3 linked regions of the Macaca mulatta genome follow. The protein of the gene in region 2 interacts with the protein of the main gene of each other region in a pairwise test. Links are inferred from orthologs where the notes say so. Each region holds a gene or a part of one and is shown on either strand. Other genes may lie near its edges.

Region 1 (10,347 bases), on a different chromosome or scaffold from region 2:
AGGCTTGAGCCACCGCGCCCAGCCTCACTGCAACCTCTGCCTCCTGGGTTCAGGCGATTCTTCTGACTCAGCCTCCCAAGTAGCTGGGATCACAGGTGCCCACCACCCCACCAGGCTAATGTTTGTATTTTCAGTAGAAATGGGGTTTTACCATATTGGCCAGGCTGGTCTTGAACACCTGACCTCAAGTGATCCACCCACCTCGGCCTCCCAAAGTGCTAGGATTACAGGCATGAGCCACGGTGGCTGGCCAGATGATTATTGTTATTAGGGAATTGTTACTAATTCTGTCCATTGGTTGAAAGTAGTAATAATGTGATTTCAGGAAGGAGGGGGAGAGCTAACATTTCTTACATGTCTTCAATGTGCTAGCTCTGGTCTAGAAGGTTTACAAATACCTATTTTTGAAAAATAGGATCTAATTGACTCAATTTTCAGTGATATAATTACAAGCCCATGATTCAAATAGAGTTCCTTCTGGTTCTAAGCCTCTAGGTCTTCCACTCCTCTGAGCTGTCTTGAAGTAAGTGGTAAATGAGTAAATGACAACTGAGAGCGCTAATCATTTGCCTCGGTCCTTCACTCCAGCAGTTATGCTGCATGTTTGGGTTGTGTTATTAATGTCATACTTTTGGTCTTTGGAATAGTTTGCTAAGAAATAAGAGTAAAAATCCAAATATTGCCTATTCAATATAAATGTTGTATTGAGTATTAATCCTTTATCAATAATCTAAGAATTTCTGTATTCCTCTGAAATATGATTTACTTGATAAAAACCAAAAACTTACTTCTCCAGAAATAAAGAGAGATACCTAGGCTTCACCTCAAAGATTCTGATTTTGGGTACAAAAGATAAAAATGATTGGAAAGAATGAATAAGACCTACTCTTTGATAGCATAATAGGGTGACTATAGTCACTGGTAGCTTAATTGTGCATTTTAAAATGGCTGAAAGAAGCCGGGCATGGTGGCTCATGCTTGTAATCCCAGCACTTTGGGAGGCCGAGGTGGGTGGATCACGTGACATCAGGAGTTGAAGACCAGCCTGGCCAACATGGTGAAACCCTGTTTCTACTAAAAATCAAAAATTAGCTAGACATTGTGGCAGGCCCCTGTAATCCCAGCTACTCGGGAGGCTGAGGCAGGAGAATTGCTTGAACCCAGGAGGTGGAGGTTGCAGTGAGCCGAGACTGCACCACTGCACTCCAGCGTGAGCAACAAGAGCAAAACTCTGTCTCAAAAGAATAAATAAATAAATAAAAATTTAAAAATGAATAAATAAAGTGGCTTAAAGAGTGTAATTGAATTGTTTGTAACTCAAAGGATAAATACTTGAGGGGGTGGATACTGCATTCCCCATGACAGGCTTATCTCACATTGCATGCCTGTATCAAAACATGTCATGTGCCCCATACATATATGCACCCACTGTGTACCCACAAAAATTTTTTAAATTAAAAAAAAAAGATCCTGATTCCATCGGTTTGGAGCAGAGCCTGGGCATCAGTATTTTTTAAAAGCTCCCCAGATGATCATAATATGTAGCTAAGACTGAGAACAACTGATGTTGGTATAGTATGATCCCGTAAGAGGAACATCAAAGCAAGTTTGTAATTGTGAACTGTGGCTCCTTTAGTCTTTGATCTCCTTAGACTTCAGTCATGCAAGCTCAACCAGTAGCATCACTTAAGGCTATGGGAGCCAAGGGCTCAGGTTAGTGTTTAAGTGTGTAGTTGGCAGTCCTGCATTTCTCTTGTTGGCTTGCCAGACCATCACTCTTCGTCTTGTAAATAAGCTGGTTACAAAAGAGACACACAATCACACACCCTGCTTCCTGTGACTGACAGCCTGTTAACATTATGTTAGCAGAATGGAGAGGTTGAAGCCTTTCTGCTGAGGTACCCAGAAAGACTTAGGATTCTAACTTAGGAGTGTTTTAATTGTGGTATCTTTTAGTGGAGTCAGCTAGACAAGGTCTTTTTGTTGCCATCTTACAGCATTGTTTCACTTCCATGGGTTCTGCTCATCACCTGTGGTTGAAGGTTGTAGTGATTTTAGCTCTATTAGCAATGTATCTACTATTAATTGTACTTTATAATGAAAGCAGGGAGGCTCTCTTAACCATTTAATTATGTTTGTACCATTATAGTTGAATGGGACAGCCACCTAGGATCTAGGGAACAGCTCTATGGTCTTTATCTTCCTAGAGTAAAGCTTACATTCAAGAGTATTTATTTAATACTGTGTACAAACACACCATTATACATTTTGGTTTGGGGAAAATCTGACACATCCCCAATTTATCACTAAATCTTTTGGCCAGTTCTTCAGAAACACCAGGGAGAGATACTGTGTGCATCCAAAGAGGTCATACTGAACTGTCCAAGGGCTGCCTCTCATGCAGCAGGTTCTCTGTATACCTTCATGATGTGCTATGGCTGAGTCAACAAAAATAGCAAAGCCAGCTATGGATTACTAATTACCAGTTCAGTTAAAAATCTGCATACTGGCTGGGCGCAGTGACTCACACCTGTAATCCCAGCACTTTGGGAGGCTGAGGCGGATGGATCACCTGAGGTCAGGAGTTTCAGACCAGCCTGGCCAACATGGTAAAACCCCTTTTCTACTAAAAATACAAAAAATTAGCTGGGCACGGTGGTGGTCACCTGTAATCCCAGCTACTCATGAGGCTGAGGCAGGAGAATAGCTTGAACCAGGGAGGCAGAGGTTGCAGTAAGCTGAGGTCGCACCATTGTACTCCAACCTGGACAGTAAGAGTGAGACTCAGTCTCAAAAAAATTTAAAAATCTGAATGCTAAGATGTTATTTTTCATTTAGGATTACTTGTGCCATGTTTGCTTATATTGATGTTACTACTATAGAGAGATTGTATTTTATTATAAACCTTTTATTTTCTCTTTATAGGTATGGGTTAGAATGTCTGTTCAGGTTTTATAGTTATGGACTGGAAAAAAAATTCAGGCAAGAAATTTTTCAGGATTTCCAAGAAGAAACCAAAAAAGACTACGAATCTGGTAACAATAACATCAGAAAATTTATACTCTAATTGGAAATTGTAAACCTGAGTCTGTCAGTAAATAGGGAGGGAATTCATAGTTTTTTTCTTCAAGGCAAACCATTTAAGATCTTCATGCTATTATTATGTTTCTTGATGAAGGATGGGGCACCAGGTAGTAAGAAGGCCCTTCCTGGGAGGTGTTGGAAAGTAACTACTCTCAAGTCTTTCTTTTTTGGAGGTATATTTTGTCATTATCCCTTTGACAAACATGGCTACTCACTGATGTTTCATTACATGAAAATTCTATGCAACATCGGCAGGTAAGCTTGGAAAGGCAGAAATAGCACAGTGGTTAAGAGTGCAGGCTCTGGGCCAGATTGCTAGGTCCAAATTCCCTTGCCACTATTTAGAATCTTTGTGACGGTGGGTAAATTGCCTATCCTTGCTATCCTCAGTTTTCTCATCTATAACATATATGAGAACATCCATCTTTTGGGTTGTATATGGGTCAAATTAGTTTGATGCAAAATAAAGCACTTAATACTTGTTACATAGCAAATGCTCAATAAATATTAGCTGCCATTATTGCTTAATTCATTACATGTCTTATTCTCAAGATCTACAGTAAGCATATATTGGAAGATAAACTGTTTATTGCTGATAGGATTATATTTAATGTGAATCATTTTTAAAATTTTATATAATTTATAATGTATATTCTTCTTCGTTATTAGGTCAGCTGTATGGACTAGAAAAGTTTTGGGCTTATTTGAAATATTCACAATCTACGACACAGTCTATTGACCCCAAACTTCAGGAATACCTCTGTAGTTTTAAGAGGTTAGAAGACTTCCGTGTTGATGTAAGTTTTAAGTCGTTTCCTCTATTCTTTTTATTCTCCATATATTTCAATCTCTTCTCAGTGACTTTTTAAGCTTTAATTTTGTAATTTTTATTTTTTAACTTTTTAGTTTCAAAATTAAACTTTGAAATAGATACAAAAATAGTTCAGAGAATTCCCATATACTCTGTTCACTCAGATTTCCCAAATGTTAACATCTTGCATAACCACAGTGCAATTGTTAATTCAATTTAATTTTCATATGCTTCTATAATTAAACATTTTCTAGAAGTATTAATTTTTATCTGATATGCTAATTTGTCACTAGCAATGTGAAAACTTTTCACTTTTTAATGATCTTTTATCCGTATACTTTCTGTAACATGTGCTGATATGGATTTAGGGTACCTGCATAATAAAATTAAGGAGAGAATGTTGTGTGCATGTGTGCAAGTACAAGAGTGGTGTCTTTTAGTTGAGTCAGCTAGACAAGGTCCTTTTGCTGCCGTCTTATGACGATGTCCACTCTCATGGGTTCTTCTCATCACCTTTGGTTGAAGGTTGAACTTATATAGGCTTTATCAATTCGATTTCAAAAGGAAAAGAGAAGCATTAAAAAATGTCAAGAATCTAAGAAGATAAAGGAAAAGGAGGAAGAAGATAAATAAAAAATTAAGGAGAAAGGCTGGGCATGGTAACTCACACCTGTAATTCCAGCACTTTGGGAGGCTGAGGCGGGTGGATCACCTGATGCCAGTAGTTCAAGACCAGCCTGGTCAACATGGCAAAACCCTGTCTCTACTAAAAATACAAAAATTAACTGGGTGTGATGGTGCACGTGTGTAATCCCTGCTACTCGGGAGGCTGAGGCACAAGAATTGCTTGAACCTGGGAGGCGGAGGTTGCAGTGAGCCGAGATTGTGCCACTGCACTCCAACCTAGTCAACAGAATGAGACTCTGTCTAAAAAAAAAAAAAAGAGGAAGAAGAAAAATTTTAAATTTAGAAAAGAAGTCAAAGGAAGGCTAGGTTCATCATCTCTGCTTTGTGTTGTAATTTGTCTTGCAGTTTTGTGTAAATGGACTTGATGACCCAGGGATAGGGTTAATAAAAGTGCCTGTCTCTTGAATTAAGAGCTATTTTTCTAGAGTGGTCTAACCAGTTCTATCACAAAGACATCCTTGCTCTATATTTGAGACTCTTGTCCCATCTGAACATAAGCCAAGAATTCAGGCCTCCTCCTTTAAGTACAACAGAGGATTGGATAAGGAGGTTACTATCTTAATTTATCTCCACATAAAAATACTATTTCATTGGTGTCCAGTTCTGGGCTCCCAAATCTTGGTAACTGGAAAGGCCTAAAAAACTGACTTTTTTTGAATGCAGGATCCCTTTTCACTGGGTACTTAAACGTTTGAAGATGTTTAAATTTGGTACCATCAATAATACTCTCCAGTCTCCTTATCATAGGAATTCTAGATAAACCTTCAAACTTGCTAACGATAATTTAACTTGGCATCTTTTTTATTCCTCTACTGCTTTCATTTATCTGTTAAACATTTTCACTTAAGCAAGCCTGGAATAGGAGTTTAGGATTGAGAAAGAGACTGGAGATACAAATGTTTTACAGCTGACGAAATTGAATAAAGAAGGCAAATTGCCTCGCTGAAACATTTTCTTGGAGGCAAGGAACCCAGCCTTATACTTGTGCCCTATCAGATAGCTCAAGCCTAAAACATGAGAGAAGCTTAATAAACACATGTTGAGGCCGGGCATGGTGGCTCACGCCTGTAATCCCAGCACTTTGGGAGGCCGAGGCGGGTGGATCACCTGAGCTCAGGAGTTTGAGATCACCCAGGGCAACATGGTGAAACCCCGTCTCTACTAAAAATACAAAAAAATTAACCGGGTGTGGCCGCGAGCGCCTCTAGTCCCAGCTACCTGGGAGGCTGAGGCAGGAGAATCGCTTGAGCCCCAAAGGCGAAGGTTGCAGTGAGCTGAGATCACGCCACTGCACATCAGCTTAGGCTACAGAGTGAGACTCCGTCTCAAAAAAAAAAAAAAAAAAAAAAGACACAAAACAAACAAAAAAACACTCGGGCTACAGAGTGAGACTAGGTCTCAAAAAACAAAACAAAAACCAAAACCACAAACATATGTTGAGTAAAAGAATGAGCAAATACTAGTAGGCTGATTTAGTTAGGAAGGAAATTTAAGTTTAGTATCTTAAGTTGCTGTTAAGTTTTTGTTATACTAATAAAATCTGTGAGGCGGGTGCACGGTGTGAACCCGGGAGGCGGAGGTTGCAGTGAGCGGAGATCGCGCCACTGCACTCCAGCCTGGGCGACAGAGCGAGACTCCGTCAAAAAAAAAAAAATCTACTGAAGTGTCCATTTAACTTACTTTTTTTGGGGGAAAAGTGTAGCCTTAGGTTCTGAAGGGAGGAAAAACAGTAAAATTGTCAACGGTGTTGTCTTTTATCATTTGCAGCCCCCTATTAGTGAGGAATTTGGAAGAAAAAGACATTCATCTACTTCTGGTGAGGAGAGTAATCGTCATAGACTTCCACCTAATTCCTCTACAAAGCCACCAAATGCTGCTAAACCTACATCTACCAGTCAGCTTCAGGTCCCAATAAACGATCCCAGAAGGAATACTTCACCGGAGTCCAGTGACAATTCACATTAAACAGTGCTGCCTGTGGCCTGTGGTCTCAAGAAATGGTGAAATGCCTGAGAAATAGACTCTTACGGAAGTTCTTTGTCCTTGAAGTCAACGTTTACATCAGTATTTATTTAGGGAAAATCTTCTGATGTTTAATTGTGATAATCAGAAAGAAGAAAAAGAAAGAAAAGTGGTAGCATTTTTTCTAACAAGATAAATTCTAAAAATGTTTTCCCTGATTTCACAAACAAGGATAGTCTTGGTGACCTTTTACAGAGATCCTCTAGTAATGTATTTTGATCTCAGATTTCTTTTTCAAAGCCATGGTTTTACAAAAACAGCATTCCTTAAATATATTTAAAAAACAATACAAGGAATGCCTAACATTTCAGCTCATACTTCTTAAAGAAGATATAGTATGTTGTATTCTATTCTATAGAGCTTTCTTAAAGAATCCACAATCCAATTACCCCACTGTCAATTCATATTTGAACTTACCAAAAACAAAGGAGGATTACGTATATACTTTTTAAATTCAAAAAAGAATATGAAATTATACATTTAGTATTTCTTTGAGACATATAGTTTAAAGAAAACTTTTTTTTTAAACAAAAGTAGGAATATATAGCAAGATTATAGTTACAGTGAGTATATGCACTTTTGATGCTAGGTTTTGCTTTTCTCCCCCCAGTCATATCTCATGATTTCCACAGTTGTTGTATTGGTGTGGAGTTTTCTGAATTGGCATAAGCTGATTACATATTAGAGGTTTATTTTTATGATTCTATATAAACGTGCACAAGTAATTTAAAACCTACATTGGGGTTGGTTGGAATATTGTCCTGAACTAATTAAATCTTGCACTATTTTGAATGCATCTGCTATTTACACATCTGCAAGTGGGTAGGTCATAAGGAGTCAGATTATCTTTAATTTAAAATGAATACTTAGTTTTACCTTTTTATTTTTTGTTTAATTTTGTTTTGTCTTTATAAATGTTTTCAAGAGTTATAGCAAATTGATTTCTAATTTTTGTTGCTATTACAACTGATGTAAATGATAGTTTCAGTTTTTGTGAGATTAAAAAAATAAAGCACTTATTCTGAATTTTTTGAATTTTGAATTATTTTTATTTAGAATATAGTTGAAAAGCTGTAATATTCAGTTTTGCTGGTAAAAGACCATTAATTTTTGTGAATGAAGTTTCAATTATAAACTTACATCCACTTTTATTGAGCACTACTTAATTTACAGATATTTTGTTGTACTGCAAGTGGTTTCATTATGCTAGATTAATTTGTATTTTCTTTTTGAGCAGATTGGATGTCTTGTTCTTATAAATTATAATATTGAAATGCGTATAATCTTTGGATGGATGGGCTGTTAATTTGTAAATAGGTTTTCAGTAAGTTATTTCTCATAAGTAATAATTGGCAATTTTATAATATTTACTGTTTGGAGGGTCATTTTGATGCTTTAAATTGCTGAAATACTCAAATTTGAATATTCAGAAAATAAATTTATTTAGATATATTGTAAAGAGACTGCAAAACAAGCAATGGGTTAGAATAATAGATCTTCAAGTCTTTTCTTAAATGGGATATGTAGTTCCAGCTTTTCAGTGAGAAATTTCCAAACCATGCTTATTAGCTTTAAATGGTCTCTTGAAATGATCTATAAATTTTTCTCAGTGTCCTTTTTGTGTTGAACACACACATCTGAAACCTGTATTTAACCAGATATTTCTACTCAACTGAATATACAAGTGTAAATTTGATTGGAAAATTGTATATTATAAATGAAAATATAATAATCAAGAGTTTTGTGGTTTGTTTTAATTAGTAGTTTTATCATATTTTTATTATAAAAGTAATACATGTACGTTGGGAAATTTAGAAAAGCACAAAGAAGAAAATAAAGTACTTGTTATAAAAAGAAGAAAAACCAAAATTGGTATCAGGCTATATATAATGTTATAACCTGCTTTTTTCACTTAATGGAGTTGAACGTTTTCTGATGTCATTAATATTTCTCATTACTTTTTTTTTTTTAATTGTAGAGACGGGGTTTCACCATGTTGACCAGGCTGATCTTGAACTCCTGGTCTCAGGTGATCCACCTTCCTCGGCCTCCTAAAGTGCTTGAATTACAGGCATGAGCCACTGTGCCTGGCCAGTGATGTCATTAATATTTCTATTTCATGGCTTTTACTAGTTACATAGTATTCCAGCATGTGAATATACCAGAGTTTACTTAGCTAACTGCTGACTGTTGAACTTTGACTGTGGCTAGGTTTTGGCTGTTACAAACAACAATTAATAGGCCGGGCATGGTGGCTCACGCCTGTAATCCCAGCACTTTGGGAGACTGAGGTGGGTGGATCACTTGAGGTCAGGAGTGTGAGACCAGCCTGGCCAACATGATGAAACCCCATCTCTACTAAAAATACAAAAAACTAGCCTGGCGTGGTGGCGCATGTCTGTAATAGCAGCTATTCGGGAGGCTGAGACAGGAGAATCACTGGAACCCAAGAGGCAGAGGTTGCAGTGAACCGAGTCCACACCATTATTACACTCCAGCCTGGGCAACAGAGTGAGACTCCATCTCAAAAAAAAACAAAATAAAAGTAAAAGAAAAACAAACAACAATGAATAGTATCCTTACAGATAAATCTTTGTGTATAAAAGAGTTACTGTCAAGAACTCCTAGAAGTTGGAATTCTAAGTAAAAACATGTCTCCATTTAAGACCCTCTAGGAAGGCTGCACAGTTTACGCTTTCATCAATGACATCTGCTTCCCTACATCCTTATCAACACCAATTATGATAAATCTTTCTCTTTAGACTGGTAAGCAAAAAGTCATTTAAATCTCTCTCTCTCTTTTTTTTTTTTGAGACGGAGCTTTGCTCTTGTTGCCCGGGCTGGAGTGCAATGACGCGATCTTGGCTCACTGCAACTTCTGCCTTCCAGATCCAAGCGATTCTCCTGCCTCAGCCTCCCGAGTAGCTGCATGGAATGCACCACTATGCCCAGCTAATTTTGTGTTTTTAGTAGAGACGGGGTTTCACCATGTTGGCTAGGCTGGTCTCGAACTCCTGACCTCAGGTGATTCACCTTGTCTTCCCAAAGTGCTGGGATTACAGGCATGAGCCACTGCGCCTGGCCACTAAATCTCATTATTAATGTCACCATTTTAATCAGGTCACTAATAAGTGATAATTTTTATTGCTTATTAACCATATTGTTTGTAGATTGCTTGAAAATACCCCTTATGTTTTCCTTTTGGAGTGATTATCTCTTTCTGATAAATTTATGGAGCATTATTACTTACCAAGAATATTAACCCTTTGCTTTCTAATTTTACTTATGTATGTTTGACATGGCATGTACTTTTTTGGGTAAAATTTTTAAAAACTATACCCCTTAAAGAAATTCTGAATGTAAAGCTCAAGCAAATAAAAGCACTACTATTTAATGAAAAGACAATCATTGGCTATAAATCTAAATGGTCCTACCCAAAATTTATGAAAGTCCCTACAGAACTTAGAGCTTCCTTTTTTATGATTTTGCACAATTTTCAATGTCATAAAAAAGGCAATGCTAAAAATGTTATTCAAACTCCTTGTCCTCCTTTTAAGAGACTAGTTGAAACTGTCTTTGACATTCTCTACACTAAAGGAATTAGGAAGAGAGTTATGTTTTTAAAGTGGTATTATTTTAGTTTTAAAATACATATATTTTTTGTTTTTATTTTTTTGAGACGAAGTTTTGCTCTTGTCGCCCAGGCTGGAGTGCAATGGCACGATCTTGGCTCACTGTAAACT
Region 2 (10,878 bases):
ATTTTCACTTAGCACTATAATATCATTCATATTACTTTAGCTAAAAACTGGAAGACAACTTAACCTGTATTTGTTCTACAACTGAACCAGAAGAATAAAAATTAGTTTTATCCAAGGTTTAAAAATTGTGTCTGTTCTTAAGCTTAAGAATCATAATCTCAAAACAAACAAACACCTTAAAATTATTTTAGGTTACAAAACAGAGGTGTTAAAATTAAAGGAGATGGCTGAATCCAAGAATCAAACTTTGCAAAAGATTAATGTCATATTAATCACAACTATACTTATGACTAGAAAGAATGGAGTCTAGATGATCTCTCAAGGAATCTTGTTCTGGATTTTCCACACTCTTGCCCCTTGTCTCATTTGAGCACACAAGATTTAACTGGCTCTTTGCTATTTTCTCTAGTATTTTAGCAATCATGACACATAAAACAAGTTGACACACAGCCTTTCCTCAGAGTTTCAAATCTTTGTCATAAGAATCAAGTGGCTAGGCGATGAATATAGATTCCTGGCTTTCTGTGGTACTTTTGGAAGCAATAAGTAAGTGACTATTTTAAGTTTTTTGCGCTTCTTTCATAGTAGTGGAAAGAATTTTACTACAGGGGTTTGTATGTCTCAAAAAAGTTACTGAAGTATACAACTTCACACCATAATCAGCTAACATTTGTCTGCAGCACTTAAGAGAGCTGGGAGTGAAGGGATTTAGGCTTTGGCCCAGGATATGCCCCTTATCAGCCATGTGATCTTGGCAAATAATCCAACCTCAGATTCTTCACCTATAAACCGATAATCTGCCATCTTCCTATCCTGCTTACCTCATAGAGTTCCTGTGAGGATCCAATTAGTTAACATGTCTTGAAGCACTTGGAAAACTATTAAGCCCTAACAAATACGTATACAGAAACATTATCGTCCTAGTCCTCAGGCAAAAGGGAACTATTAGGTCACAAATTCCCCTATTCCATCTCACCCGCATAATCAATCACATAATTGTACCGAAAGAACAACTGTATTGCTACATGGCTCATCTTTATTACTTAAATTTACACACTCTATTCTCCAGAAGCCTATATAATGACGTGTAAAGATGAACCAGCAGAAGAAAAATGTGGCAAAGCATATAAAGAATTCGGCCATTTAAAATCTTTTCTGAAGATTTTCTTTGCCTGTCCTGAACCCCAAAATTCCTGATGGGTCCTCAGAAATTGTCAATTGCCTCTTGATTTCAGATGTTACAAGGAACTGTTTACACCAACACTTAACTAAGAAACAAGAATATTCTCCTCCCACAATTTTAGGTTTTATGAACTTGTAGTAACATATCACTTCTTACCAGGGATCATTCTAATCAAGCTCTGTAACACTGCTCACTGGTGCCTTTCTCTCAAGTAAGAAGCAATTTCCTACATCTTGACTGGGCTGTAAAAAGCGGTATATGGTTCCAAAATAACAGAGAATTCCTCCTTTACTGTCATAGTTCTTGATAGTCTGATTTCTATGCTGAGCATGTCAGGTTCCTGGCCGTCACTGACAAGCTGTATGAATCTAGATAAGTCACTTATGGTGATCTGGGACTCAAGTTCCACATTTATAAAAACGAAAACTAGTTTATCTCCAAAAACCTTTCTGGTGGAAATATTCTAAGATTCTTTTCAGATCACATGTATCAATACAGTCACAGTATTGTGACTAAGAGACCCCCCCCAAAGAACAATCCCATATTAGCTGCAGCTTCCAAATGTTCAACATTTCTCATTTCTCCCCCAGTACCCAAAGGGTAGTCACAGCTACTATAGAACTGTTAACAGTGCAGCTTAAAAAACAAAAAACAACTAGCTACGCGACAGAAAGATCGTAGGTTTTTTTAAGAGTCAGTGGGTTTTAAAAAGGGAAAGGAATTGAATCAGAAAAATAGGAAGACACATGTAAGAAAATATACCAGTCCAATTTCATACCAGGTTATCTCCTGCGGCAGGGAATAATCTTAGGACTCCAATCCTAACCCCTGTCACTGATAACCTTAGAATACCAGAAAAGTCAGATTAACCTTAGCAGATCACTCAATTTCAATTAACGACGTAGATCCTGACTAAGAGGCCAGTGGGAAGCAGAGGGCCAGAGTAGGGAGGTAGCAGTACAGAGAAGCATAGATGGAAGGTTTTGCTTCCAGCTAAGACGTCATTCTAATGATTAATTAAAATGTTTGAAAACAAAAAATCCAATAATGTATGATTTATTCAAAAACGATGTGCAAGGAATTTTGCTAGGCATCAAGGGGTGGAGGTGGGGGTGGGAGTGGGGGTAACGACACACAGATGCATTCAGAGAATTTAAGAGTCATTAGAGGCTGGGTGCAGTGGCTCACACCTGTAATCCCAGCAGTACTTTGGGAGGCTGAGGTGGGTGGATCACTTGAGGCCAGGAGTTCGAGACCAGCCTGGCCAACGTGGCAAAAACCTGTCACTACTAAAAATACAAACATTAGCCAGGCATGGTGGCACACACCTGTAGTCCCAGCTACTTGGCAGGCTGAGGTATGAGAATCGCTTGAACCCGGCAGGCAGAGGTACAGTGAGTGGAGATCGCACCACTGACAGAGCGAGACTCCGCTCAAAAAAAAAAAAAAAAAAAAGAAGTATTAGTTATTAGTAAGTCCCATTACCCCATGCAGTTTAAAAACATAATATTAAGAATATGTACCCACAGGTATGAGCTGAGAGGAGTTGAAAAAAAAAAAGTTACAGACCCAAACATTAATACTTAAGGAAATACGCTATCTCATGAATAACACAGGATAACCTAGGAATTCAGATGCTGACTGAATTTATCTGGTTTTAGTAATCAGTGAAGACTCATTAGGATAGTTTTCATCACGGTCTTGAAAAATAGGAATAAGCTCATTTTAGTGTACCTGTTTGCCCTTGGAATATGTTTATTAGTATAAGAGCATCACTGATAGGAAAAGCATGGTCTGAAATAGGGACATGGATCACCATCAGCAAGCAAAAAGAAAAACATCAAGTCACCAGTTAATAATGGTCTGAAGCGGGACATGGATGAAGCTGGAAACCATTATTCTGAGCAAACTATCACAAGGACAAAAAAACAAACATCGCATGTTCTCATTCATAGGTGGGAACTGAACAAGAGAACACTAGGACACAGGAAGGGAAACATCACACACCCCGGCCTGTCATGGGGTGGGGGGAGGGGAGAGGGGCAGCATTAGGAGATACACCTAATGTAAATGAGCAGCTAATGGGTGCAGCACACCAACATGGCACATGTATAAATATGTAACAAACTTGCACATGTTCCCTAGAACTTAAAGTAAAACTTAAAGTAGAACTTAAAACATGTTGTGCACATGTTCCCTAGAACTTAAAGTATTAAATAAAATGGTCTGAAGCAGCCCTTCTTTACTCATGTCATTTCTACTGTCTCAGATATTAGTGTTTATCCAACTGCAAAGTGTATTTTTGTTATAGTAACCACTAGTGTTTTATCCAATATACATCTGTTATGGAAGTGAGAGGAAGCAAACAAGCTTCTTTAAAATGAAAAAGGGAAAGCTTGAGGGGCATTCTACCAGACATGATTTCTACTGTGAAACACTACTGTCCAATGCAAATGATCCTTCCCTTCTTTCCAAGTTCTCTACTAATCTTCTGCCTTCCACCAACTCCATCATGCATCTGAGGCACATAAAAAGATACATGACCATAGGTTAGGATAATAACACACGATAATGACTTCCATAATTTCTTATAGGCAAACCGCTTCTGAAACGTGGTTTTAGGTTAGTAGCACTTATGTAAGAACACAAAGGTCTTGTATGTCTGGGAACTTCTGGTATAGGCTGAAGGTGAAGGCTGGAAAAAAACCAAAACCACTTCAAGTTCAATAAATTTAAATAAAATATGCTCCATAAAAGTTAAAATGTATACATCAAATATCATATGCTTTTTTCTGATAAGATTTCAAAGTTAACATCTATACTAATAAAGACTTAAGAGTGTAAAGAATTTACACATTTTATTGCACCCTAATTTTTAAAAAAATAAATTTCATTGTGCGTATCTGAGGTTTACAACATGATGCTATGGAATATAGATAGCAAAATGGTGAAGCAGATTAACATAGCTATCATTTCACATAATTACTTCTTTAACAACAGCTGCTAAAATCTACTTATTTAACAAAAATCTCGAATACAATTTTACTAACATTGGTACCCCTGTATCTCTAAACTTGTTCATCCTACATATCTGCTATTTTGTATCCTTGACCTACATCTCCCCATTTCCTCTCCTTTCCCCCACCAGCAGTAGTAACCACTGTTTCATTCTGTGTATTTTAGCTCCTTAAAAAAATATTCTACATGAGTGAGATTATGCAATATTTTCCTTAGTGTCTGGCTTATTTCATTTAACTTAATGTCCTTCCAAGTCCATCTACGTTGTGGTAAATAGTAGGATCTCCTTTTTTAAGGCTGAATAATGTTCCATTGTGCGTTGTCTATACACACACATAAACATATACACACATACAGAACAATTTCTTTAGCCATTCGTCACCCATCGATGGACATTTAGGTTGTTTCCCTATCTTGGCTACTGTGAATAATGCTGCAATGAACACGAGACTGCAGATATCTTCACAAAGTGGTGATTTCCTCTCCCTTGGGGGTATACCCAGGACAGGGGTTGCTGTGCACCCAGAATCTTCAAAACAATATGTAAATCCTACTTTTGCTGGTATACTGTGAACTCGTATTTACCTAAAAAAAATGACATTAACAGCACTCTTTCAAGAAAGTAATTTGAAGAGAAAATACAAAAGAAACCTCAACCGAAGTAAAGAAGGTATCTCTTTCCCATCAGTGTTACTGGTAACTTCTAAAGCCCTAAGCGGTATAATTTATCTTTTCATATACAGGATAATGATGGTTTCAGTTGTTACCACAAATTACCTCAAATATAATGGAGAAAAAAAATCATTAGCTATATAGGGTCTTCCAATATATCATACACACAACATGAAAATCAACCTAGCTTCACATAACTTGGTCAAACCTGGCAGAATCCAAGGGGGGCGGGGACGCGAGAGCCAAGTTACTACTGACTAGGCTAGGCTAAAGGCCAATACATAAGCCACAAATAAAAGGAATCGAGGGCAGGCGCGGGGGCTCACGCCTGTAATCCCAACACGTTGGAAGGCCGAGGCGGGTGGATCACCTGAGGTCAGGAGTTCGAGACCAGCCTGGTCAACATGGTGAAACCCCGTCTCTACTAAAAATACAAAAAATTAGCTGGGCGTGGTGACGGGCGCCTGTAATCCCAGCTACTCGGGAGGCTGAGGCAGAAGAATAGCTTAAACACGGGAGGTGGAGGTTGCAGTGGGCCGAGATCGCACCACTGCACTCCAGCCTGGGTGAAACTCCGTCTCAAAAAAAAGAAAAAAGAAAAAAAAGGAGTCGGTATGAGATGAAGTCAGGAACACTGCTCAACTCGAGATTATCACACAGCTCTCGTTCTTTCAATATTGGTACCTAAAGAAAATAATTTCACTTATCTCCCTCCGTGCATTTATTCCTTTACAACATGAATTATTTACAATCTGGCTGGCATATCTGACTCCACACCCCAAGCTAGTGACATAAAACATTTTCCCCAAGAGAAACCTACAGAAAGATACATAAGCCTAAGGCTCTTAAAAAAAAAAAAAAAAAAATGAGGCATGTGTCTTCACCTCGCCTTACACTTTTCTCAGTTACCTCTCCCGAGGGTGTGAAAATATCAACATCCGGTCGCCCACCCCCACACCCTCTCAGCAGTGCCTCGCATTGACTCTGCCCATCCCCTATCCTTCCCTTTACATTCTCATCACCTTGGAGAAGCCCATCGAATATTTCTTCGCATTGCTCCCCCACCCTTATTCATGGCTCAGCGCGATATTCTCCACATCTTTCTCCCAAGGAAGTGGCAAAAAAGAAAGCAGCATGGTCGAGGACGAAAGCCGGGGAGGTCTGACAACCAGACGGCAGTTTAAGGCGACGGGATTGGCTCTTTTCCCCCATCTCGGCCTCCGACCAGCAGTCGGTTCTCTAAACGTGAAATCGCTGGTCTTCTCGCTCCCCCCACCCCCATCCCCGTCAGAGGCCAGGCCGGTAAAATGCGAAGACCGCGGGGAAGCGCAAGGCAGGGTCATCCCTAACGAAGCCCGCTCCCTCCCGGGCTGGTGTCCCCGGCGGGGGGGGCTGGAGATTGCGGGGGGAGGAGCGAGCGGCCCCCGCCCAGAGACCCTCGACACCCAGGCCCTTTCCCCACCCGGCTTCCCTCCCCCGCGGCCCGGCCCGGAGAACTGCAGCGGCGCCCGGGCGGACCCCACGCCGGCCTCACTGGCACACACACCACACACAAAAGCGCCGCGGCCGCCGCCTTCCCGCCCCCACAGCCCGGCGAAGCAATCAATGAGGCGGCCGGCGCCCGCGTCCCCTCAGTGCACACCCGAACGCGAGGCCGAGCGGTCCAGCGGGGCTAGCAGCGCGGCTCACCATCGCTGCGCTTGATCTCCACGTAAATCCCGATCTGGATCTTGCCGAAGTTGGCCGTTGCCATCACCTCATCTGGAGCAGCGGCAGCGGGCCGAGGGAGGGGGACTGGAGAACGGAAAAGGCGGGGAGGGGGCGGGGTAGGTGTGGGAGGGGGAGCGGCTGCCCGCGGCCGCGCCGGCCCGGGCGACAGCGTGAACGCGAGCGGGGCCGCGAGGAGCAGTTGTGGGGAAGCAGGCGGAGGCCCCGGGCCTGCAGGCCGGCAGGAGGACGCGCACGCCGGGGAGTCGGGGTGAAGCTAGGGCCGGGGCCGTGAGGCGGCGCGGGGTAGAGTGGGAGGGCCCGCGCCGCCTGCCCGGGAGCCGACGCTGGGGAGGCGGGGCGCCGCGCGCCTGCGCAGAGCGCGCCTCGGCGTTTCTTCTTCCTCTTCGGCTTGCCTCTCCCGGCTGCCTCCAGGTGGCCCCGCCCAGCTCTGCAGCGGGGCGGGCGGCGGCCGCGGCTTACCCGGCCGCTGTAGCGGTGCGCTCTCGGCCCGGCCCCCAGCTAGCCGGCGTCGTGTTTGATTTAAGCGCGCGGCCTAGAAGACGCGGGAAGCGTCGCGCTGAGCTTTCTTGCCCTCTCGCTTCTGTGAATTGGCGCTGTTGCCGGAATGGGTTAAAGGCCACGTGGTTTCAGGGCTTTCCAGCGGGCTGAGGGATGTGAATTCAAGGGCCCTCCGTTGACAGTATGGGCTGGGTGTTTTCATAGGAAGGTGGCACCCCCTATTTCCGCTTACAGGTGGCTGACTCAAGCAGTCCTCCCAAGCACACTTGGTTCAGGTTTCCCATTCAGTTACGCTGGAAGGGAAGAAACACCTTTGAGGTGTCACCTACCCTAAATCGAAATGAAGATCCACCCCTTTGTAGTCTTGCCTTGTAGTTCATCACGCTCAAAAGGAAGCTCTGTGGTGGGACGTCCTTAACTGTTCAGGTTATGAGGCATCAGATGCTGGTGTCCTGTTTCTGCTGAGGATTCAAGACTTACTTGCTTTGCCCGGTAAAGCCAACAACTGTGACTCAATGGAATAAGGCAGACACATAAGGTTGACTAGGGAATGTGTCTTTCTGCAGTCATTTAATTAGTCTGACCACATCGGCAATGTGGAAAGCAAGACTCTCCATCCTGGCAGAGCAGGAAGGCCACGTGGACCGGGGCCCGGGAAACTGTATTTATAGCACCGTGTAAAAACCTCCAAACGTCTAACTCCTGCTTGTAGTACTGGCAATTGATATGTAGGAAACGACACTTTTCATGGCCTACTTTTCCCAGTCATTGTTTTTTGTTGTTGTTTTGTTTCGTTTTTGAGAGGGAGTCTTGCTCTGTGGCTCAGGCTGGAGTGCAGTGGCGCGATCGCCTTTCACTGTAATCTCCGCCTCCTGGGTTCAAGTGATTCTCATGCCTCAGCCTTCTGAGTAGCTGGGATTACAGGCCCGCGCCACCAGGCCCGGCTAATTTTTGTATTTTTAGTAGAAGATGGGGTTTCACCATATTGGCCAGGCTAGTCTCAAACTCCTGACCTCAGGTGATCCACCCGCCTCCGCCTCCCAGAGTGCTGGGATTACAGGCATGAGCCACCGCGCCCGGCCTTCCCTAGTCATTGTTAATCTCCCTGTAACAATAACTACAAATATACAATTTACAATTTAAAAATTGGAAACTGGATATATACATCAGTGCTTATCTGGATATATGTGTCCTCCTAGAGTTTTCAATCTAAGTCATCAAGTAGGTCCTTTAAAAACTGTTAAAAGACTGGCTTCATCTGTAGCTTGAACATATTGAAGGTATCCTTGTCAAAAGAACAATCCTATTGAATCCATTCTAAAGTGTGTATAATTTCTATTAAAACACACACACACACACACACACACACACACACACACTGGATAGACAATGTGGAAAATAACTTCTTTTACATTCCAGAAATGACATCACTCTTGAGAACCCCTGTTTCAAGTGAAATTTGACCAAATCAGGGTTTAGCTTTTATTTTTTCTATAATTTTGGGAGTTTTATCTGAACTCTTTGAGCTCCTGTCTAGAATTCATTTTCTGATGTCTCTGCAACTGAGGTATAAAACATCTATTTATATTTTATTTATACTTTATAAAGAATGCAAAGAAATCAAGCTATACAGCTCAAAGTTAACATTGCTTCATGAAATATTATTATTATTATTATTTGAGACAAAGTCTCGGTCTGTCGTCCCCAGGCTGAAGTGCAGTAGCATGATCTCGGCTCACTGCCACCTCCACCTCGTGGGTTCAAGTTATTCTCCTGCCTCAGCCTCCCAAGTAGTTGGGACTACAGGCGTGTGCCACTACGCCCAGCTAATTTTTTGTATTTTTAAAATAGAGACGGGTTTCACCGTGTTAGCCAGGATGGTCTCGATCTCCTGACCTCATGATCCACCCGCCTCGGCCTCCCAAAGCGCTGGGATTACGTGAGCCACCACACCCAGCCCGTAAAATATTTTTTGTATCATGGTTGCTGACACATACCTTACACTCTGTAGTTTATATGGTTAGTCTTAACCTTTAATCCATATAAAAGGTATTTTTAAAATACATACATTGTTTTGCTCCATAAAAATGTATGACATAACACTTAACAAACACAAAACTTTTCCTTTATAAGACATACCCGGGGCCGGGCGTGGTGGCTCAAGCCTGTAATCCCAGCACTTTGGGAGGCCGAGACGGGTGGATCACGAGGTCAGGAGATCGAGACCATCCTGGCTAACACGGTGAAACCCCGTCTCTACTAAGAAATACAAAAAACTAGCCGGGCGAGGTGGCAGGCACCTATAGTCCCAGCTACTCAGGAGGCTGAGGCAGGAGAATGGCGTGAAAGGCGACAGAGCGAGACTCCGTCTCAAAAAAAAGACATACCCAAAAGGCTTACGTTTTTTTGGTACACATCAGCGTATGTATTTACCAAGACTTTCATTATGGGCTTTGTATGCTAGTGGCTTCCTGAAGAGTAGCCATAAATACATACAATGTGGCTATGTTTCCTTCAACATCCTGGATCAAAGATTCTAACTGTGACTCAGACATTAACAAGATGTATAATCCTAACTAGAGCTACTACTAATAAGATCCTGAAGTGGTAACTACTAATTAATCACTAAGATATATATACCCTACTAAGAACTACTGTTTTTATTAGGATTATATAGTCTGCACTCAGACATTTGTTCAATGAGTTAACTTCTTAAACTGCTCAGTATCTCAGTTACTTCTTTGATCAACCTGGAATAATAACTTACATTCTCTCAATCACAGAAATTTTTTGTGATGACAAATAAAATGTGATAGTGCCTTGATATTTATAGGTTTTGTTTTTTTTTTTTTTTTTGAGATGGAATCTCACTCTATCACCCAGACTGGAGTGCAATGGCGTGATCTCAGCTCACTGCAACCTCTGCCTCCCGGGTTCAAGCAATTCTCCTGCCTCAGCCTCCTGAGTAGCTGGGATTACAGGCGCCCGCCACTACGTCCGGCTAATTTCTGTATTTTTAGTGGAGATGGGGTTTCACCATGTTGGGTAGGCTGGTCTCAAACTCCCGACCCCGGATGTTCTGCCCGCCTCAGCCCCCCAGAGCGCCGGGATTACAGGTGTGAGCGACCGCGCCTGGCCTATAATTTGTTTCATAAAAGTAAACCATCCTATAAAATATAACCCAGGCCGCGTGCTGTGGCTCATACCTGTAATCCCAGCACCTTGGGAGGCCTAGACAGGAAGATCCCTTGAGCTCAGGAGTTTCAGACCAGACACTTGTAGTCACATTCTGCTCAGTGAAAATACCAGGTGAAAGGCTATTGAAGTGATCACTTAGATAATGCAAAAGAGATAATATCATTTTTTTCTTAAAACCTATAGCTGGCTTCCCAGAATAAAATCTAAATTATTTACAAAAGTCTACGCGATCTAGCTCTGGCTTCCTCAGCAGCCTCATCTGGCACTGCTCTCCTCTCACTCTGCTCCATTTTCGCAGAAGTGCTTTCTGTCCCCTAAATCAGTCAAGATCTCTGATCAGGATGGCTGCTCTTGCTCAACTTTTCATGTGACTGATTTCATCTTCCAGATCTCGGTCAAAAATCACTCCTGGAAAAAGCCTTTCCTTGTCCCTCACCTTACCCCCACTTTTCTCAATCTGTCTCTCCTCCTCAACACTAAAGTAACATCCTCAAGGGTAGAAATCTTGCCTAAAATTCTTCACTCTATCTTTGGCACATAGAAGGGTACCTGGAACACAGCTGCTCAGCAAATACTCG
Region 3 (10,106 bases), on a different chromosome or scaffold from region 2:
CTTCCCATCCAAACTATAAGAAAATGTGAATTTCTTCAACATCATACTTAAATGTTACAGAAAATAGAAATACAAACAAGGTTGGTACATGAGGGAAAATGTTGACCTTTTACTTCCTTTTACAAAAATGAAAATAATAAACATGTTTTAGTATAAAATAACACAAAATGATATACACTAAAGTTGATGAAGCAAATAAATATTCTGGCTTCTTTTTCAAGGTATCAGGGCAATTTCCAAACCTTTCATTTTGTACAGAAGGAAGAATAACTACAGCTCATGGGAAATGTTTTGACTTTACAAAGTATAGATGTTGGAACATTAAGAAAAATGTATATTCCCAATGAAAAAATAGTTATATCATCTTATAGTAAACAAAAAGATTAGCAATAATACTATGGACATATTAGATTATATACTGCAGACACATATCTATCCAAAATACCTATTTTAAATTTTTAATACAATATTTTATTTTAATATAAACATCTGTCAGTTATAGACAAAGATAATAATTCACAAAGTACATGCTATCAGAATGAACTTTGGTAACCAGAAATGTAAAATTTCAAATACCAGATAAAATAATGTGTTATTTTTATAGAGAAATAAAAAAAATAGCAGTAACACAATCTAGGTTATTTTAGGGTACTGAGAGCCTAGCAGACTTAAAGGACAAGGTAGTAAATGTTTTATCACTCAAAAATCCATTAGAAGTTTCAAATAAATTACTTTCTTGCTAGGTACATTCCTTCCTACTTGAAAAGCAGAATTTCTTTTCCTCCTCTGATTGATTTTTAAAAATCATGCTCTTTTCCATACATCAACATAAACAATCTTTGGATACTAAATAAACTTTCCCTAACAAGCATCCTAGCTATGTTATTTAGATTTGATAAAATATTAGACATTTTTTAAAATACTTGTATTGACTATGAGTTTTCTGCTTGGCATGGAGGACACTGAATTTTTTCCCAATTATAAGGCTACCTGTTGTATCCTTCCCCCCATTTAAATCCCTTCTCCTTGTATATAATTAAACTTGCTATTCCTTCTTGAAAACAGCTAATACTACCACTAAAGTGCTTCCATTTTCATTGTGTCAAAACTACTTAGCAAGGATGGCAGAGGAAAATAAACTTTACTTTATATCATGGGTGAAAGTGATCATAACATTTCCCGAACCTCAAATAGTTTTGGCCACATCTTGCTTGCTGATGAGGACCTCTAATAGTCTCAGTTTGGCTTTTATGTGCTTATATTCGTAATACTCATCTGCCATTGGTATCCTATCTTCCTTTTGTGGACTTCTGCAAAACAAAAATACATTTATTAGTTCACAATGAATCAAGTCATTATTAAATATTCTTTTATAATTCATACATGAGAAAGTATACTGTGACAGCTTCCACTTGGTTTTTGCATCATGTCTTCTTTTCCTTCCCTTTCACCTTCATTCACTCCTTCTTCCATGTGTTACTAAACTTCTAAATAACAGTAACCTTTGAAAACTTGAATGTCATAAGTGTTTTGCAAATATGTGGCTAGTGCTTAGACTTACAACAATGGAGTAAGTGAAAAGATCTAAGGAGAAACAAACAAACAAGAAATAGAACTTTCAAGGCATTCTTTGTCCTGTCATTCTTCCGTTATCTGCCACAGCCCTACACCTGTACAAAATGTTCAGCCTTAATAGAGTTGTCAAAAATTTTAACCTGAAAATACAGAAATTTCATTATAAAAATCATTTATAAACTTATGGTAACAAGAAAAGCATTCAGGGTCTGTCTTACAAACTTGAAACGTTTCCAGATTGTCTTGTAATTGTAATACCTATCTCTGCTAATATGTAGTAGAACCACTGAGCTGGTCCTTGATTGAAGTAATTTATGAGAGTCTAAATCGTGGTGGTTATCTTCTGTACACTAATTCTACTAAAGCTAGACATGTAACAATGCATAGATTTTTATACGTATGCGTACATATACTCTTGCTGTTTACTTGGAAGAATAACTTGGTAATATCAGGAGTTAAAACCATTTGCCTTCCCACAAAAATATGTTGTCAAGATACGTTTTCTAAAGGGAATAATTGTGACAGGGTCTCAGAAGACTCTTGTTTTCTTGGTTAATAAGATAGCCAATTGCTTTGAAAACATTTCCACCCAGGACTTTGAAATTCAAGGGGTAGAGGACACAGATATAGTCACCACAATTACAACTGAATATAACCACAAATATTCTCTAACATTAGTATGGCTGAAACCAGGTAAATAGCATATATTTAATGTTTTATCTTTAGCTCCCTTCTATTTTTCCCAGTAATGATAAAGAGATATTTCTATCTCTTACCAAATAAAAAACAAGCTAATCTATACAGATTAAGAATATAGTATCTACTTGTATTTCAACACTATTTATTGCCCTGCAATTTCTAGTACAGAACTCAAAACAGTATACAAATCCATAGACAGCATTCTTCTTGACTATTGTCTAAAGTATATAACATAAATCCTTTGTCTTCATTCTGTGTTATGAGTCAAACTTATCATAACTGGATGTCTGAATATCACCTTAATTTGTATAAATAGATCTAAGTAAAGAAATTATCTAATTATTACAGAGAAACATTAATAATCCATTATGTAATTTTGCCTAGTTTTGCATATTCCATTTTGGCTAATAAGAGTGCTTTGACAAGGATGGAAAGTTTTGCCAAGTCTTTCCTGAAGCAGTTTCCCCATTATATAAAACATACTAAAGTGCTTAGCACAGTTCCAAGCTCATAATCATTAATAATAATGTAATATCTATATGATTCTCATGCCTCTTGTATGGCAAATATTGCCAAGAATATTTATAGTGCCTTAAACATTTTAGTAATCCATTTGCATGGTTATTTTACCTTACTGATACTTAGGCCTTCCCAATAAAATGTCTTAGATAAACAAAATTAAGGTCCATATTTCCTAGCCACTCAACTGTTTGATTTTAGTTGTAAAAGATCATCACTTGTGCATTTGGTTGAAATATATCACCACAAGGGGGCATACAACTTCATAGCCATATATAGGCTTATCTGAAGTGGGTTTAAGACTCATAGGTGCAGTAGAACACCATACCTAACACCATAACTAACTTCCCTGTATGACAAAAGCATACCAAGTGGCACTGCAGATCCACTAGGCAGAACTAGTAGCACACTGGGAAGTTATCAAACCCCTTAAGATAGATTCCTGGGTTCAAATTGCTAAAAATATAAATTTATTCAGGGAACTCAAATTTATGAAATGAATGTATGCACATCTTAAAGTGTCATTTCTCATATGTAATGACTGTTTAGATTTAGAATATTTGATAACATCTCCACAAATATTTCCCTGAATGAAAAATTCCCATAGAATACCTTTAATCCAAAAGAGGCAGAGATCAGGAACTTTATAGTGTAAGTCACATATTTATCCAAGGTATAATAATAGCAGACAGTCCAGACAAAGTTACTACTCCAAGGAATGTTTTACAAGGAATGTTACATGAACATTTTATAAAAGAAAAAAGGATGGAAAAGGAAAAATAACAACAAATGCTTTATGTTCTAAATTTATGAGCCACATAACATTTCTCACTAGATTAGTTAACATCACCATAAAGGTAAGTTGGACTTTTGCAATCAACTTGAAAGGAAGATTCCAACTAGAAAATAAGTTGATACATCTCTGTTGGCTGAATGCAAAAAGCTTTTCACTCAGTAGGTCCAGTCCCAAAGAATATCCTGGTAGGCTAAAATGGAAAACCTGCCAGGGACTAAGGTGAATAGACCACACAATTCATGTATTTATGTCGAGATTTATTGTGCAAAGTTAGAGATTTTTAGAGTTTAACTTTTATTTTTTACAGATTGATGTCATACCTGACAGCTACCATGTCCCATAAAACATCCCTAATATTGGCAATATTAGAATGTTGCATTGGACAAATCCTGAGTCTAAGCCAGTGTGAAAATGATACACATTTTGTAAAAAGTCACCGTTCCTGCAAAAAATTGCAGGTCATTTTTAACAGTAATTCTCTAGGAAGTATTAGCTTTAAAAATCTCTCTGCCCACACGTACCTTCCTGTTTGTTTAAAAAACTGTTCTTCAAATTCTCTTAAGGCTTTCCGCAGTCTCTTCTTGTCAGCCCTAGTTTCTCGGAGATGGTCAAGAAGTACAGGCCTATATAAGGTAGAATATTTGTCATTACTGGGCACTGGCATAATTGAGAGATCATCGTGAGCAGATTTATCTGTTCAGCCAAAAAAGCATACTACGATTGAAAAGTGTTCTGAGCATAAGAGTGTCTTTTGGGTAAATATGACACACATAGAGCCTGACCATAGGCAAGCACATAAGCAGGGAAAATTACCTGATGGAAAAAATATCACAAGATATGGGAAAGGACAGACAAGAGGCAAGCAGATTGATTGAATCCACTGAAAGAACTGGAAAGGGTAACAGCAATATAGATGGATGAGGGAAGGGATATTTTGAAGGAATACTCATCAGCATTTGGTGATAGACTGAAGAGATACAGAGGAACAGCTTTTAAAGACAATTCTATTCTTAATCTAGAGAAATAAGTGTAGGAATATTAGGAGAATGGCATAACCCCTGTGAATGAAAATAAGACCTAGAAGAAAGCTATAGTTACATTGTGAATTCTACTCACTTCATTCTACCAAGATGAGAGAAAAGTCATACACGCTAGAGCAGGAATGTGGTATACACAAGCAGACCAAACTCATGTATGGTTTCAGAGATTCTGTGAACTTGAAATTATATATGGGCTTTCTCTTAAAACAATTCTGTTGGTTTCAAAAAAGTCCAACACCCCTTGAAAAGTTAGGAATAACTCCTTTAGAATCACCACCAAAAAAAGGGTTTTCTGCTTGCTTTCTCTGATAGACACTTCTGTCAAATTAAATTAAACTAAACTAAATCTCATAATCTGGGCTGTAAGATACAAACCAAAGAAGGCCAGATTATCATGAGGAATGCCAGCTACTGAATAATGATAATAATAATGATGATATTAATGAAAATCCAAATGGCTTCTATCTGAAGGGCCATTTAAGAGACAAAGGGCAAGTCATTTGCTTACTACCAAGTGGATTTCTAGTGGAAAAACTATCTCATCTAAATGTAAGAGTCTAGGATAAAGGCCCTGAGAACTGTTGACCCACCCCTTTGAATCCAGCATTTTCAAAGGCCAGCTCTGCTTCATATGCTGGTATCAGATCAGAAGGAGTTAAGAGGAGACTCTACACTTAGGATTCATACTCACATGGTAGCCTCATGTAAATTAGACATGGAGAGAGCTGGTGGTTTTACTTCTTTCTTTTCATCTGGTAGAAGGGCCCTAACAGGCTCAGTCTCATTAGAGTAGGTGAGGTGGTCACCAACAGGAAGGTGAGATGCTGGATCTGGCAAAGAAGGTTGTTGGCTTCCCTGTGGATGGTCTTCATCAGAGTCCTCTTCCTCCTGCTTATCACAGGCAGAGTTAAAGAAAGTAAGTCACGTAATGCTCAGTGCCTCTTGAGGAAACAAACAAACAAAAAATACGAGAAGGGGAACCATAAATCAATGTCATGAAAACCAGTAGGTGACCCAAATGCCTACTGAGAACTGGGATGGAAGCAACCAAGAAGAGTTCTTCCTCAGTTTCATTAAAAACCTGCAGAAGTTAATGAGCAAAAAGGCAGCAGCCATGCTGGGCTAAAACTTAACTCACCAAGTTCATCTGTGTCTTCTGGGCCAATGAAGGCACAGAGCATTAGGATATGGTCCAGTCTGGACTATACTATCAAGTGGTTCCTCCCTTTCACTCAGGCCTTCTGGGCTCCAGCTTAATACTTGTGACATGAGTTAAGATGAGGTGGACTACAGACAACTTTTATCCTCCAGAAATACCCCAAGTCAGGTCCCAGTGAGGACCAACATTCAGATACAGAGGATACCCAGAAAATTGACAAGTTCAGGGGAGAGCTATTGGAAAGCCAAAGCAAAGTGGGGTTACTCCTCAACCTGTTCTGATAATTCTTATCACAACTAGAAGATTCTCTTGCAAGAAATATAAGAACTCTACTACATTTTAAATTATGCTTCCATAATGGGAAAATTCCAAAGACTGAATAATTATTCTCTTAATGTCTTTAAAAATATGGAAGTATAATCCATCTCAAAAAATGTGGAAGTATAATGTACTCAAGCATACTTAAATTTATATTTGTTAATATTTATTCTTTTTTATATTGATATCTTGAACAAGTAACTGTTTTGATATTGATGGAGTAGGATTTGTGATGCTTTTCTAGTTCTGTATTCCCATAAATCATTCTTTACTAAAAGTAGTCTAACTCAATTTCAGTACTTATATTTTCTATTGAAATAAATCTTTTCATATCTTGTATAGTACGGCCAAATGGTACCAAAAACAAATGTTGCATTATATCAAGAATATATTGTTAATTTTCTGATTAAAGGAAAAAATTAACCAACACACAGAACAGAAAGGCTCTGTTTTGTCTAGCTGTGTTACAAATTAGAAAATGCCAAACTGAAATCTATGAATTTCTTTTCACCCAAGCTAATGAAAGCAAATGTTAAAATTGGCTCTAGACATACAAGTACTATATGTTCCTATTTTACAATAGTTCTAATATCAGCCACTGTTAAGTATAGTAATGGGGTTAGAGAAGACCAAATTTTCACTTTTTGAAATGACACCTGGCCTTGTTAGCAGTATATACTGCCATGAAGGGTCTTTTATAACTCTAGTACTACTATGTGACATCATGTTAACTACACATCAGTACAAAGTAACAGCATGCAAGTATCCTGACTTACAATTGTTGGAATAAGGGAAGGCGTTGACAAGATTTGCTTGATAATTCTGTATCGGTCATAAAGCGGCTTTATGAGGTTCTTGTCTTGCTTAGTTACCTGAGAAACATGAAATTATTATTCTTCTCTCAGACAAGAATGAAAACATCAATATTTTTTAGCAGACAAAAAGCCTCAAAGTAAAGGATTATAATACTATAATGCAACAGTTATCATGAAAAGGAAAGTCATTTATTTATTTATTTATTTATTTATTTATTTATTTAGAGACAGAGTCTCACTCTATCACCCAGGCAGAGTGCAATGGCATGATCCCGGCTCACTGTGACCTCCAAGCAATTCTCTTGCCTCAGCCACCCAAGTAACTGGGACTACAGGCACGCACCACCATGCCTGGCTAATTATTTTGTATTTTTAGTAGATACAGGGTTTCACCATGTTGGCCAGGTTGGTCTCAAACTCCTGACCTCAAGTGATCGGCCTGCCTCGGCCTCCAATTATAGGTGTGAGCCACTGTGCCTAGCCATAAAGTCATTTACAAGATACTGTATGTAGCACATGCCAGTTTTTTCTTGGAAAAGTTTCTTAAAGCATATGTCCAAGTTTAGGAATGTGATTTTTGGAGGAGTCTGAAATGCATAAGTGTTAGGGAACCTCTTCCTTAATGACTTTTTCATTCTTAAAAAACCAGTCCAGACATTGATTTTTCTTCTGAAACATATATTTTATCTAGACTTTCCCGATTATATGTAGTCACAAACACCAACGTTGTACAGGTCTTCATCACTACATGCTTGTATTATATACTAGGTTATGACTAGTTGTGATATAAATGAAATTATTTTGGACAAAACATTTAACTTCTCTGAGTCCTCAAGTTCCTACCTATACAAGAAGGAGGTTGGAGTTACCAATATCCTTCCATTAAAAAGATGTATAACCTCTTGATCCACTAATAAATTCTATACCCCTCTGCTGTAAGACCCATCCCTAATCACTATTTTCAGTGGATCACATTGTGCATAAAAATTTAAATAGCTTCCTATCTATCTATCTATCTGTCTATGTATCTGCCTATTTATCCAAAGTGACCAAACTCCTTTGCTTGTATTGGTTTTTTTCCTGCTTTTTATTCTGCATTAATTTTCTGCATGTCTAGTAAACATAGCTTCCTACTCTAGTCCAGTGATATACACTTGGCAAGTAGTTGGAAGGGAATAGTAGAAATAACTCATGGAATAATCACCCAGGCATCTTTTATCAAAGTACACACACCCACACATGCCAGATAGATCTGCCATCCAGATCGGTCTCCCTTGAAAGAAAAGAAAATGTCTCAAACATGTGTTACACTTCCCAGTTATCCTCATGCTCACAACTCCCATCCCAATTGCAAACCATTCTGGCCCGTATTGATCTACCTTTTCTCTCAACTTCTTATCTCATTATCTGAGTCTTAACTGTTTTCTTTGTTTCAGTATTGTCTGCCCAAATAAATGATTCTTGAGGAGAGAGATCGTATCACATACTTCTTTAAATTCTCACAGTACCCAACACCTTCCCATTCCTACTACTAAGCTATCAACACAGGTTTATATGAAAAAAGGACTCTAATTTTTAGCAATCTTCTTTTAAGTCCCATACGCTGTGACCTAACTCTCGCTTCCCTCTATAGAAGCCTGTTAAGTATTGCTTAAATAACCTCAAGATCTTTTCATTTTCTAACCCAATCATTTTTTAAACACTTTTATTCATAATACATCTTTCCATGAAAAAAAAAACCCAACAGGTTCCCATCAAAATCTATTTCATGGGATTTTAATAGATGACAGAAGAAAAAAATCTCAGTCTGAGTTCAGAAAACATGGAAATAGTGGTTTTTTAATGTAATATCTTACTGGGACTTACAATCCATAGAAAGTATTTCAGAAAATGATGCATTTAAGTAGTATTGGAATCTCTCCATTGCAATTTGATTTTTGTGATTTAATATATTCCCCAGATTCTAGAAAAGCTAAATTTAATTCTAAAAGAAAAAAGTAACCAAAACACATGATAGAATGATGAATGCCATTATAGAAAAGTATCTTCCATAGATGCTGGATAAAAATTTGGGAACACATACAATGTATGCACTGCTTTTTCACTTTGATTCCATTGTCTTCCTCTTAAGATTATTATCAAAGCAATCCCTGAGGAAATGTGAGGGTTCCATACCCTCATGCATAGTAAGTACAAAACACTGTGAAACCTCTAAGTCTACAAGTGCTTATCCTCAGATAGAGGACAGGAAAGCAGATTGCCTGAGGAAGGTTAGTAGTGGGATTATGTGCCAGGAGCTGTTTTCTACTCACAGAAAAGCTATAGGCCTGCAAAGTGATCTTCATAAAGGAAACTGAATCAAGGTAAGCTCTGCAGGATACCCCAAATCTAAGGGGGCAGAAATACATTAGACTTTGCTGTTATTCTTCAGCCACTTTCTGCTAAGAATCAGATCTAATTTTCTCCTCTGAATTCAATGGCTGTCTCTTTCTGAAGTGCATCCTTCCTCCCTAATTCTATAGTTGCTGCTGGCTGTGGTATGCAAGATATATCTATTTTTTTCATTTTTGTTATGTGAATGAAGGAAACAAGGTTTCCTTTATGTTTTCGGTTACATGTTGAATAACCTAAAACAGCCAAAGAGAGCTATGAATGTATTGTCATAATTTAAAGATAAATAAAAGGAGATAAACTTTAAAAGATGATTATTCTTCCAGTTTCTCCATTTTTTATAGTATCAGGGGTAAAACTAAGAGGAGGTTGAACAAGACAGGACCATATATAGGACAAAATTTGATATGATTTGTTTATAGCTTGGCAACTTTGCCATATGAAAACTCCTGGCCCCCTATCAGTGATTATTTGAATCATCAAGGTCTGGAAATAAACTGGCTTTCCAAGAGACATAACTGCTACTGAGGGTCAGTCCAAATTAGTTTGTTTCTGGGTCCTGGTCAGAAAGTTGTTTAGGAAAAAGCTGCCATAGCTTCAGCACTTCTACCACCTTGTTTTCCTTTCCCCCATGGGACTGGTGCCATGTATTCCTGCACAGTAAGCCACAGAAATTTATAAATTAAGTCATTACAATTATCCCCATAAATGAGATCTCTCTTAAGGAGAGAAATAAAACTGACATTCTCTTCTCTGGACAGTGAGCAATAGAAATCATGCTTCTTAGCTTTAGG

The links.
Region 1: the proteins of KIF2A (region 2) and LARP1B interact in binary tests that used the Homo sapiens proteins (3 or more experiments, as listed by UniProt). The two-hybrid records come from large-scale screens. The link is inferred for Macaca mulatta from reciprocal best matches to the Homo sapiens genes KIF2A and LARP1B.
Region 3: the proteins of KIF2A (region 2) and FAM13C interact in binary tests that used the Homo sapiens proteins (3 or more experiments, as listed by UniProt). The two-hybrid records come from large-scale screens. The link is inferred for Macaca mulatta from reciprocal best matches to the Homo sapiens genes KIF2A and FAM13C.

The regions. Positions count from the first base shown.
Region 1 is NC_133410.1:136,973,590-136,983,936, forward strand, and holds the end of LARP1B (la-related protein 1B), read left to right. Parts: intron 1-2,925; coding exon 2,926-3,035; intron 3,036-3,753; coding exon 3,754-3,881; intron 3,882-6,349; coding exon 6,350-6,547; 3' UTR 6,548-7,630; downstream 7,631-10,347.
Region 2 is NC_133411.1:70,201,083-70,211,960, reverse strand, and holds the start of KIF2A (kinesin-like protein KIF2A), read right to left. Parts: upstream 6,688-10,878; 5' UTR 6,627-6,687; coding exon 6,563-6,626; exon of another isoform or gene 6,516-6,562; intron 983-6,515; exon of another isoform or gene 977-982; intron 1-976. UniProt on the Homo sapiens protein: Plus end-directed microtubule-dependent motor required for normal brain development. May regulate microtubule dynamics during axonal growth. Required for normal progression through mitosis. Required for normal congress of chromosomes at the metaphase plate.
Region 3 is NC_133414.1:90,569,038-90,579,143, reverse strand, and holds part of FAM13C (protein FAM13C), read right to left. Parts: intron 6,979-10,106; coding exon 6,883-6,978; intron 5,521-6,882; coding exon 5,321-5,520; intron 4,213-5,320; coding exon 4,111-4,212; intron 1,311-4,110; coding exon 1,187-1,310; 3' UTR 1-1,186.